3 linked regions of the Ovis aries genome follow. The protein of the gene in region 3 interacts with the protein of the main gene of each other region in a biochemical or structural test. Links are inferred from orthologs where the notes say so. Each region holds a gene or a part of one and is shown on either strand. Other genes may lie near its edges.

Evidence for each region.
Region 1: the proteins of SMAD4 (region 3) and TFE3 form a complex in vitro, tested with the Homo sapiens proteins (2 studies listed by BioGRID). The link is inferred for Ovis aries from reciprocal best matches to the Homo sapiens genes SMAD4 and TFE3.
Region 2: the proteins of SMAD4 (region 3) and SKI form a complex in vitro, tested with the Homo sapiens proteins (3 studies listed by BioGRID and IntAct, with this or other methods). The link is inferred for Ovis aries from reciprocal best matches to the Homo sapiens genes SMAD4 and SKI.

What each region holds. Positions count from the first base shown.
Region 1 is NC_056080.1:56,078,005-56,081,536, forward strand, and holds part of TFE3 (transcription factor E3), read left to right. Parts: coding exon 1-39; intron 40-405; coding exon 406-462; intron 463-632; coding exon 633-708; intron 709-1,687; coding exon 1,688-1,835; intron 1,836-2,525; coding exon 2,526-2,969; 3' UTR 2,970-3,532. UniProt on the Homo sapiens protein: Transcription factor that acts as a master regulator of lysosomal biogenesis and immune response.
Region 2 is NC_056065.1:49,878,239-49,882,556, forward strand, and holds the start of SKI (ski oncogene), read right to left. Parts: upstream 2,818-4,318; coding exon 2,728-2,817; intron 2,458-2,727; coding exon 2,151-2,457; intron 2,034-2,150; coding exon 208-2,033; intron 1-207. UniProt on the Homo sapiens protein: May play a role in terminal differentiation of skeletal muscle cells but not in the determination of cells to the myogenic lineage. Functions as a repressor of TGF-beta signaling.
Region 3 is NC_056076.1:50,866,518-50,870,735, forward strand, and holds the start of SMAD4 (mothers against decapentaplegic homolog 4), read left to right. Parts: upstream 1-1,394; coding exon 1,395-1,643; intron 1,644-2,534; coding exon 2,535-2,709; intron 2,710-3,135; coding exon 3,136-3,165; intron 3,166-4,218. UniProt on the Homo sapiens protein: In muscle physiology, plays a central role in the balance between atrophy and hypertrophy. When recruited by MSTN, promotes atrophy response via phosphorylated SMAD2/4.

The sequences.
Region 1 (3,532 bases), on a different chromosome or scaffold from region 3:
GTCCAGCTGAGCTGCCCAATATCAAACGGGAGATCTCTGGTAAGGAACAGGGTCTTGGCCCTGTGCTATCATCCTTTACCCCAGGGCAAGCCCCATTTCTACCAGGTCTGGAGGTCGGGCCTGGTTCTAGGGGAAGAGGGTTTAAACAGTAATGGGGGCTGTTTGCCACCTTTGGCCGCATGGCCTGTGGTCCTGCTTTCAGTCCACTTCCTCTTCTCTTGGGTTTAACAAATAGCCTGTCACCATGGCTTCTTTAAAAATCGTAAAACGGGTAGCACTTTGTAAGTAGTCACTTCCCCTGCCTGCGCCCACCAAAGCCTACCCCAGTGGCTACGTGTGCTGCCCTCCGTCGTCTGTCACCTTTCCCAGGCCTAGAAGCCCTGACCACTGCCCCATCTCTTCCAGAGACAGAGGCCAAGGCCCTTTTGAAGGAACGGCAGAAGAAAGACAATCACAACCTGAGTGAGTGGGAGCATGTACCCCTGGCTGCGTGCCATGGAGCCCTGCTTCACTCTGCCCAGCCTTCCTTGAGCGGGTGGGGCTCTCCCTGCAGCAGCTTCTCAACTCCCCAGTTTTTCTCCTTCCCTCCTCGGCCTATTGATGACTCCTCTTTCTTTCCCTCACCTTCCAAGTTGAACGTCGCAGGCGATTCAACATTAACGACAGGATCAAGGAGTTGGGCACCCTCATCCCCAAGTCCAGTGACCCGTGAGTCTGGGCCGGGAGCCCCAGGGCCAGTGGAAGGTGGGACAGGGGCCCCACTCCCTGAAAGTCATTGCTGGGTGGGCCCACCCTAAATGGGAACCACCCAGGCAGTCCTACTCATGTGCCTCTTTCTCACCCAGCTTCCCTCACTCTGAGCAGGGTGGCAGCCCCTCACCATGTCCCAATCTAAATTTAGGTGCATGACATTATGGTCCCTGTACCTCATCCAACCCCCGCATGAGTTTTCTGCTTATTTAGTACTTCTTTTATTTACTCAAGAAGTGTATTCAGTTGCTTCTGCTTTGTGCCAGGTACCATGCTAGGCCCTGAGGATACGAGAGGGCACAAAACACACAAAAGTCTCCGACCTCGTGGAACTGATGTTTTAGTGGGGGCAGACAGACAGCAAACAAGATAAATAAGTAAAATCTGGTGGTTATGATGAGTGTGGTGGAGAGGAATGAAGAATGGAAGGAAGAAGGGGGGATGTTGGGGAGGTCACAGTTTAGGGTGAGGAGAGGATAGGGACAGGGTAGGCCTCAACTGATGAGGAAACATTTGAATAAAGAGCCTGAGTAGCTGAGGCTGGAGCCATCTGGGTGTCTAGAAAAAAAGAGAGCTCAAGGTGGAGGGCAGAACTGAGCTGGAGGCCCTGATGTGGAAATGATATTCCATGTTGTAGGAGCATTGAGAAGCCAATGTGGCTGCAGTGAGATAAATCAGAGGGGGGTCAATAAGAGGAGCGGTAAGGGATCAGGTCAGGGAGTCTCCTGGGTTTGGAGTGTGATAGGGCATCATTGGAGGGTTCCAGGCAGGTGGTTTTCATCTGAGCACTCCATACCCATGATGGGCCCACACTTCAAGTTCCAGGCATGTGGCTGGGTGCTCCATCTACCTGGTGCAGTGCCCCCTTCAGCTCCCAAGAGACTCCATTCCCTTCTTTCCCAGCATTCCCTTCTTTCCTCCCCCTTGGGCTCCACAGGGAGATGCGCTGGAACAAGGGCACCATCCTAAAAGCCTCCGTGGATTACATCCGCAAGTTGCAGAAGGAGCAACAGCGCTCCAAAGACCTGGAGAGCCGGCAGCGATCCCTGGAGCAAGCCAACCGCAGCCTGCAGCTCCGAATCCAGGTCTGGAAGGAAGAGGCAGTAGCAGAGGTGGGGGTGAGGGGCTTCCTGAGGCAGAAGCAGAGGGAGAACCAGCCAGGATTTCCCCTCTGGGCATATTTGGGGGATCCCTGGGCTTCCTGGGATCATCATTCCTTATGATGATCATAAGCAGTGATCATAACATTGTGCTAGTGCTGAGTTGCTTCAGTCATGTCCGACTCTGTGACTCCATGGACTGTAGCTCTCCAGGCAAGAATACTGGAGTGGGTTGCCATGCCCTCCTCCAGGGGATCTTCCCCACCCAAGGATTGAACCTGTCTCTTATGTCTCCTGCATTAGCAGGTGGGTTCTTACCACTAGTGCCACCTGGGAAGATCAGTCATAATATTAACAAGAATAATAATGAATACTGGCTAACAGACATGGTGTTTATCTTGTGCCATGAACTGTGACAAGAACCTTCTCTCCATTTACTAAGTTAATACAATAATCCTGTGAGACAGGGACCATTATTACATCCATTTTATGGATTGGGACTCTGAGGCTCAGAGACAGATGGTAAGCAACTTGCCTGACGTTATGCAACTAGTGAGTGGCAGAGGCTGAATTTGAACCTAGGCAGCCTACTCTTTTAACTCTTAAATCCTCTGCCTCTGAAGGACCTCTGAACCCCATCTTGTCCTACCACCCCCCCCCACTTATGTTTTGCAGGAGCTGGAGCTGCAGGCCCAGATTCATGGTCTGCCGGTGCCTCCCACCCCAGGGCTGCTCTCGCTGGCTGCAACTTCAGCCTCTGACAGTCTCAAGCCAGAGCAGCTGGATGTTGAAGAGGAAGGCAGGCCAGGCACAGCAATTTTTCATGCAGCAGGGGGCCTTGCCCAAAGTGCTCCCCATCAGCAGCCCCCACCACCACCCTCGGATGCACTTCTGGACCTGCACTTTCCCAGCGACCACCTGGGAGATCTGGGCGACCCCTTCCACCTGGGGCTGGAGGACATTCTGATGGAGGAGGAGGAGGGGGTGGTGGGGGGACTGTCAGGGGGCACCCTGTCCCCACTGCGGGCTGCCTCTGATCCCCTGCTTTCTTCAGTATCCCCTGCAGTCTCCAAGGCCAGCAGTCGCCGCAGCAGCTTCAGCATGGAAGAGGAGTCCTGATCACGCCTCACCCCTCCCCTGGGACTTCCCCACCCAGGAAGGGAGGACCTGTCAGGATGAGGCCCCACCTTTTCCCCCACCTTTCCATGAGACTGCCCTGTCCAGGTGTACCCCGGGGAAAAGGAGACTTGATGAGGCCCCACCTCTTCCCCACAGGACAGGCCAGTGCAGCTGTTCAGGCATGGAGAAGGTAGGGACATCAGGGCCTGTCTCCTGCAGATCACAGCCTGACCTTATCCCGTGGGACCCGCCCTTGCCCAGGTGAGGGAAAGAGATGGGATGAGGTTGGCCCCTGGCCCCTAGGGACTGTCCTAGCTGGTTTCCTGGGATAAAGAGGTGTCCGGATACTGCTCCATCCCCTCTCTTGGAACCACCAGTCTAGTCCATCCTGGGAAGGAAGAGGAGTCAAAATGATGGCGGTCCCAGCTTAAGTGTTTAAGCCCTGTCCCTTCCCCTGTGAATCCTGCCCTGCCCAGGCAAGGAACAGAAGTGAGGATGAGAGCCAGCCCCTTCACCTGGGAACTCAGTCCTGGCCTTGTAACAATGGAGGACTCAGGCCCTGC
Region 2 (4,318 bases), on a different chromosome or scaffold from region 3:
AGGAGCTAGTCCTAGGAGTCAGACCAAAGGACCTTCCTCCGATACGGAGCAGTCTATGCGGACACCAACAACGCCCCCAAGTTTCCACAAAACAAAACCTAGCCCTGAAACGTGTGGGGGAGGCTGAGCCCCCCGACCCAGAAGGGCACCCCGCCCTCTCCAGGTCCCACTCCCACTCCCCAGGCACGGCTGCCACGGGACACTCACCCGGGGCACCCGCCGCTTGTACTTGTTGCCATAATCAAACTTCTCCTTGACGTCGTCCAGACAGCGGCCGAGACGCGCCTGCTCCTCCTTGCCCGTGTAGTCCTGACTGAGCAGGATGTAGGCCCGCCAGTTGGCCGAGTCGAAGCCCCAGTGGCAGGTCCGGTTTTCCAGAGCCTTGTGCGAGTGCACCACGAACTTGTGCGGCGGGTACATGAGGCGGCAGTCGAGGCACTGGATGCAGGCGGCGCTTGGGCTGCTGTAGAGCTCGGGCACCAGCAGCCCCTTGCACTTGCCGAAGCACTCGTGGTACACACGCACACTGCGCTCGCTGAGCTCCAGGCCCAGCGCCAGGCTGGCCGCCAGCTCCTTCTTGCAGGGCGGCGGGTAGGCGCCGCCGTACAGCAGCGCGTTGCACAGGCGCTCGGCGTCCGTCTTGGTGATGAGCCCGCACGAGGGCGCCGAGAAGGGCAGGATGCCCATGACTTTGAGGATCTCCAGCTGGTCGGCCGTGCAGCGCGAGCAGTAGATGTGAAGCTCGTCGCACACCGAGTTGATCTGTTGCAGCGAGAAGTCGCGCAGCACGGAGTTGAGGATCTGCGGCAGACACAGCCGCTTCTCGCCGCCCACCACGAAACACGAGATGGTCTCGCCCTCCAGCACGGTCTCGCAGCGCTCCGTGGAGCGGTCGGACGGCATGAAGAAGGGCCCGGGTAGCACGGGCGGCGGCGGCTGGATGGCGGGCAGGTGCAGCACCGGCGGGGGTTCGGCGGCCGCGGGCACCGGCGCCGGCACCGCGGCCGCGCCCGCCTCCTTGGCGCTCTCCTTCTTGTAGGCCTCCTGCGCCCAGCGCGCCGAGAAGGCGGCCGGGCCGCCCAGCGAGCTCATGGAGCTGAGGTGGAACTGCTCCAGCGTCTTCTGCAGCCCCGGGTGCGGTTGGAAGCCGCCGCGGCCGCCCGCCGCCGCCTCCATGGTGCGCTCCGGCTCCCCAGGCCGCTCCCGCTCCCGCGTGCCCGGGCCCCCGCGGCCCCCGCCGCCGCCCCGCGCGCCCCGGCGGCGCCCCCGGCCCCGGCCCCGGCCGCCCCCCGCCGCCGGCTCCCGGCCGATCACGGCCGCGGCCTCGGCCTCGCCCGGGGGCCCGAAGGGGAAGGCGGGCGGGGCGAAGGGGTCCCGCCGCTGGAGCCCGCCGCCGCCGCCCGGGCCCGGCGCCACATCCACGCGCCCCGCGCCGCGCCCGCCGCCGCCCGGGCCCCCCGCGCGCCCCCCGCGCGCCCCCCGGGCCCTAGGCGCGGGGCATGCCCCAGCGCGCGCCGCCAACGCCAACGCCAACGCTCGCGGGCCCGGGGCTCGCGGGGGGCGCGCGGGCAGGTGCCGGCGCCGCGAGGCGCGAATCGCCGCGGCGGCCGAGGCCGAGGGGCCCGGGAGGAGCGGGGGCGCGGGCGCGGGGCCCGCCGGGCCGTCCTCGCGCGGCGCGCCGCCGCCGCCCCGCTCCTCCCACCGCGCGGCGCCCGCCCGGCTCGTCCCGGCGGCGCTGGCCGGCCGCGTTGCGCCCGCCGCCGGCCTCCCGGCCCGGCCCGCACCCACCCCGCCGCCCGCGCCCGGCTCCGCGGCCTGCCCACCCGCCCGCCCGCCCGCGCACGCGGCTTCCGGGGCGGCGGAGCGCCTGTGGGGCGGCCTCAGACCGCGGCGGCGGCGGCGGCGCGGGGCTCGGCGCACATCCTCCCGGCGGCTCGCTCCAGCTCGGACTGAGCGCCCGGCGCTGAGCTCACGCCGCCGCCCCGCCCCGCGTCCCGCCCCGCCCCGCGCCACCGCCCCGCCCCGAGCGTCGTCTGGGGCCGCGCGTCGGCCTCAGCCGAGCGCCAGCCAGGAATGCGCCCGCCGCCCCCCCGGCCAGGCTCTTCCAGGAACGCGCGCTCCCCCCGCCCGCGCTCGGCGCTCCGCCTCACTCGGCCGCATTCGGGTCCGCCCTCCGGCCCGGGACTCGGATCCGCTCGGCTGGTCTCGGGCCTGCCCGCCCGCGACTCGGCTTCGCTCGGCTACTCTCGGCCCCGCCCGTCCGGGACTCAGCTCCGTTCGGCTCCGTTCGGGCCCGCTCGCCGGAAGGCCGCTCGGCGGGGGCGGTGGCTGCGCCCCGGGCCCCCCATCCGGTGGAGGCTGTTTCCTGCGCGGCTGCGAAGGCGCCCGTCCAGCCGCCGTGTCGCCGCCGGAGCCCAGAAACCCACACAGGGCCCCCCCACCACAACCGCAAACCAGCTGAGGGGCGGACGGATGGGGCCGGCGCACCCTCTACCGCACGCCTCCCGGCCCAGCCCCCCGGGTCCCCACGCACGTGACGAGGCAATATGACCCAAGTCCCACGCAGGACTAGGACACCGAGCCAGACGACGTGGGTTACTACAGGATGGCAACACCCCAGAGACCCCACACGGGAGACAGGCACCGTGCAGACTGTTCTGGGGGTCCCCCCGAGCAATGCAGGCGCAACACAGCAACCCCCAAAGGATGACTGGCTGCAGGGCCGACCACCCCACGACCCTGCTCGATGGTCCCCCACACAGCTACTTTGTGCGCCCACCGCCAGTTCCAGGGCAGGGCTTGCGTCCAGGTTACCATGAGGCCGGGGCTTCTCAGGAACCTGGCTCCTGCCTGCGTGCCCCGAGCACGCTGGCCCTACCCTTACCCAACAGCTCCCAGGCTCAAAGAGCCATTTTACATCTGCAGGGCACCCAGGGCAGGGCCAGTGTGAGATCACACTGTCCATCCTTCTGCACCCTGGCTCTATCACGAAGGACAGACAGACCAGAAAGCGCTGGGTGGGACAAGACAAGGGCCTGAGGTTGGACAGGCTGACCGGGTGGCCCCCAGAGGAAACAGTGTCTAGCAGAGTCCTGGGAGCTTGGGACTTGAGATCTAGAAGACAGTTCTGGTTGTGCTTAACTCAAGGGCAGAGGGACAGTCCAGCCCAGCTAGGCAGTGGCGACTTTTCTTCCAAAGGACCGGGGCACCCAAGCTGGCCCAGACACTGGAGGACACATGGGGGGCCCACAGTGTTGGGCAGAGGTGAGAGGGCCCACCCACTTCAGCCTGTGTGACCTTCAGCTTGGACCTTACTGCTCCTGACTCCCCTTTGGAGATGGAAACTGGCCCCAAACCAGCATTCCTGCCCCGGGGAGCTGAATGGGTGTCTCTGCAGGCATGGACAAGTGTCCAGAGAGGCAGCAAGAATGGGCAGAGACCCCACATCTGTATGGCTGCAGAATCTCATGGGGGGACCTTGTGGTTCAGGGTGCATTGCTCTACATCTGAAGAACTGACAGCTCCCTACCGTGAGCGTGAACCCTCTCCTACCCACATGTCCACTGAACACCAGGTTTTCCTATGGCTGCCAACACAGGAAAACTAGGAAAGGGGTCCATACAAAACAAGAAAAGAGATGTCTTTGCTTTCGCAGACTCCATGGTGCTGGAGAAGATTCTTGAGTGTCCCTTGGACTGCAAGGAAATCAAACCAGTCAGTCCTAAAGGAAATCAACCCTGAATATTCATTGGAAGGACTGAACCTGAAGCTGAAGATCCAATACTTCGGCCACCTGATGTGAAGAACTGACTCACTGGAAAAGACCCTGATGCTGGGAAAGATTGACAGCAGGAGGAGAAGGGAGCAACAGAGGATGAGACAGTTGGATGTCAGCACCGATTCAATGGACATGAGTTTGAGCAAACTCTCGGAGATGGTGAAGGAGGACAGGGAAGCCTGGCATGCTGCTGTCCATGGGGTCGCAGAGTCAGACATGACTTCGCAAGTAAACAACATCTGGACCAAAAATTTTCTGTTGTACCTGAGTCTGTTCCTTCTACATGGCTTTGACTCCCATACAATCAGGTGACTTGTAATTGAAAGAAGGTGGTTGGAAGGCTGGACAGGGAGGGTTTTCAGCCAAACGCTCGATTCCTCCCGCTCCTTCAGCCAAGCCATCATTCTCAGGAGGGCCAAGAGCCTGAGGGCCCCTGGATGGGCAGTGCCTGACTCCAGGGGGCCCCCTCCCCTCTGCCTTCTGGCTTTGCAGGGCTCCAGGAAGGGGTCTTAAGAGGGGACCAAGTGGAGGAGACAACAC
Region 3 (4,218 bases):
GGGCTGGAAAGATCTCCTGGAGAAGGACATGGTTACTCACTCCAGTATTCTTGCTGGAGAATTCCATGGACAGAGGAGCCTGGCACTTTATATAGTTCATGGAGTTGAAAAGAGACAGGGCTTAGCAACTGATGCAAAGGAAATGCCATACCTATTAGCAATCATTCCTCACCCTCCCCTACCTAAACCTTTGGCAACCACTAATCCACTTTTTTTTTTTTTTTGGTGCTTTGCCTGTTCTGGATGTTTCATATAAACGGGGCTATATAGCAAGTGGCCTTCTGTGACTTTCACTTAGCGTGTTTTCCAGGTTCATCCATGTTGAAGCATGTACCAGTACTTCATTCTTATTGATGACTAGATAATATTACATTGTATATATTGATACATTCATCAGTTGATGGGAATTTGAGTTGTTTTGGCTATTAGGAATGATACTGCTGTGAACATTTATGTACATATTTTTGTGTGGGCATAGGTTTTTGGTAATTTTGGATGGAATTGCTGAGGGTATGATCCCTGGATTATATGGTAACTTTGTGTTTAACATTTTGAGGAATTGTCAGAGTCCTTTTCCAAGGTGGCTGTACCATTTTGCAATCCCATGTGCAGTGTATGAGGGTTCCATTTTCTCACGAATGCTTTTTGTCTGTTGTTTAGATTTATCCACCTGGTGAATGTTAAGTGGTATCTCTTTGTAGTTTTGATTTGCAGTTCAGTAATGATTAATGATTTTGAGTATCTTTCATGTCCTTATTGGCCATTCTTCTTTGGCAAAATGAGTATTAGAATCCTTTGCCCATTTAAAAATTATTCATCTTTTTATTGTTGTCGGTGATCTCTTATAACAAAGATGGCTATTGCTGATGGATAAACAGCATTTGGTGCCAGGTGATGGCGAATTTTTCATGTGTATTAGTGGTTGACTTTTAGCTTTAGTTACTTGTTAATCAAGAATATTTTAAAGTGCTGCTCTTCAGAAGTAATCCATTTTAAAGGTTCTGTTAAGATTTTACTTTAGGGTGGCTAGTACAGTCAACAAGACTTGATTGAACATGCCTCTATAATAATAAGGTCTAACTTTAATATTTTGGGAATGTCAAAAACGGCAACATTTTAATTAAATCATTTAAAACTCTAAGCACCACATTTAATTATGTGCATTGAGTCTTTGACTTAATTGAAGCAATTCCATCTTTTCCAAAGTAATTGAATCTGCTTTATGAAATGTGTTCTGATATCTGTCTCTCTCTGTTTTTTTTAGATTATCCTGAATACTACATGTCTAACAGTTTTTCTTGCAACGTTAACTGTTGTTTTTCGCTGCTTCCAAAAGATCAAAATTGCTCCAGAAATTGGAGACATATTTGATTTAAAAGAAATAACTTTAACAAATGGACAATATGTCTATTACGAATACACCAACAAGTAATGATGCCTGTCTGAGCATTGTACATAGTTTGATGTGCCATAGACAAGGTGGAGAGAGTGAAACATTTGCCAAAAGAGCAATTGAAAGTTTGGTTAAAAAGCTGAAGGAGAAAAAAGATGAATTGGATTCTTTAATAACAGCTATAACTACAAATGGAGCTCACCCTAGCAAGTGTGTTACCATACAGAGAACATTGGACGGAAGGCTTCAGGTTAGTCTTGTTCCAAGGTTTCTTCTGTACTTTGTAATGGCAGGTTTTTACAAATCCTTGTTTCCTCTTAAGTTACTATGGAAATTTCATGCTTGCTCCATCTCTTTAGATACTGTAGTACATCCTATAGTACAGATATTATCAATACAGGATCCTGTACTAATACACTATATGGAAATAAATGGAAGGATGTATCTTCTTTCAATAGAGGTATAGCTTAAAAGTTTTTAAAAATGTTTTGACTAAAAAAAATGTTCAGTATAGAAAATTTGGAAAATAAAAATCAGAAGAAAACCTACGTCTTTAGCCCTTTGGTATTCATCCTTGTAGCCTTTTTTTCTTTTTTGGTATTATATGTACAACTCAGCTTGCTTTCTTTCCTTTTTTTTTTTCTTATAATTTAGAAATTTGGTATTGTATGTCTGGTACTTTTATGTGAAAAACAATCCAGAAGAATTCAACAATATTTCTAAAACTTACGGAGTTAACTTAAATTTACAAGTCTTTACCTTTTGTTTCCAGGGATCAAATTTTTCATGTAGAATTACATAATCTCATGTGTTTGATATTTTTAAAGAAACATATAGAAAACATAATGTTAGGTTTAAAATTTTTTATTTCTAGATTTTAGGTATTGTTTCTTCATTAAACGCATACTTTTTTTGTGTATTTTTAAAACCTGAGCCTAAGCCTTGAAATCATACTTTAAGTTTACTACTTTGTGACCTTGTCCAATTAAGTTATTTTGCACTTTAGTTTTCTCGTTTAAGAAATAGGAATTTTAATACTGACTTTGTAGGATTGCAAGGATTAAATGAGAGTGTATCAAGTGCCTTGTATAATGTGTGATGCATAATTGATGCTCATTAAATGGTTATTTACTTTTCTTAGGTGGCTGGTCGGAAGGGATTTCCTCATGTGATCTATGCCCGTCTCTGGAGGTGGCCTGACCTTCACAAAAATGAACTAAAACATGTTAAATATTGTCAGTATGCATTTGACTTAAAATGTGATAGTGTCTGTGTGAATCCATATCACTATGAACGAGTTGTATCACCTGGAATTGGTAAGCAGGCTTCACTTCTATGCTTAGAAGCATAAAGGGGAAAGATATCAATAGTGTTTTAATTTTTCTAAGTTAGATTGTAAATTTGGAGATAGCCTAGGATTTCAACTAATTTTAAAACTCAGATATTTTTAATGAAATAACGTGTATTTAAATTTGAATTCTGAGAAAGCTTATATTTTGACTACTAAAACTAAGTGTACATACTTGATATTTTTCCTGTGTAGAACACTGTTATTGAAAAATAAGATGGAAAGCACTTTTGCATTGTTAGATAGCATTTATACTACTATTCTTGAATTGAAATGGTTCATGAAAATTTTGAATCTCTGGCTTAAATTTATATTCTGTAATTTTAAATATGGTGGAAATTATTTTCATTATAATGATTAATATTTTATTTTTTTTCCCCTTTAAAAATTTAAGATCTCTCAGGATTAACACTGCAGAGTAATGGTAGGTAATCCCTTTTCTTTTAACTTTCTCTCTTCTTTTATCCCATGCCCTTTATTTTTTATTGACTTAGAACTAGTCTGTATGGGTGGGTGCTGATAACATTTACAAGAAAAGTACTTACTGCTTTGAAAATGTACATTTTGCAGGGGTTGGGGGCATGCATCAGCATTTAAAACTGGATTTAGTAGGCTATTGACTCTTTGAATTTGAACTGCTATTTATGATTGCAAGTAGAATAAAAAATGTGATGGGGAACATAAAACATACACAGAAAGAGTAACTTTTGAATTGGTAAAAACTGGCTATTTTAGAAGTAAATCTCACAGAACCAGTTTCAGTAGTTATAAATAACCTGTTTGATAATTTAGAATCATGTGTAACATAGTTTAAAAACACCCAAATTCTCAGTTTTCTTTATTTCAGCCGAACTTATTTTTATGATTGATAATTTTGTGAATGACTTAAAACTGTATACTATATTAATTTTTTTTCAGTCTTGTTATATTTTGAGTAAATAAAACTAGGCTACTTTAAAGTATATGGTAATCACAGATGTTCTAGGCCTATTTTTAAAAGGAGAAAGTTTTGAGATAGGAAAATGAAACAAACAGGAGTGTGTTTTTTATTTTTCATGTAGTATTTGAGAACAGAGATCTGTTAAAACTTTAGCTCTGTTCCTTGGAACATGTTAATGAGCTAAAATTTCTGTAAGAACTAGTTACTTTGAACAGAAACTGATAAAAAGCCACTGTCACCTTAGAAGGCTTCCCTGATGGCTCAGATGGTAAAGAATCTGCCTGGAATGTGAGACCTGGGTTTGAACCCTGGGTCGGTCAGGAAGATCCTCTGGAGGAGGAAATGGCAAACCACTCCAGTGTTCTTGTCTGGAAAATGCCATGGACAGAGGAGCCTGGTGGGCTACAGTCTGGGGTCGCAAATAGTCAGACACCACTGAGAAACTAAACCAATACTATCACCTTAGAAAGGTGTGCCGTTGTTCTGAAGGGGAATTAGTGGTTCAGCAGCACTTTTGCTACAGAATCCTAGAAATGT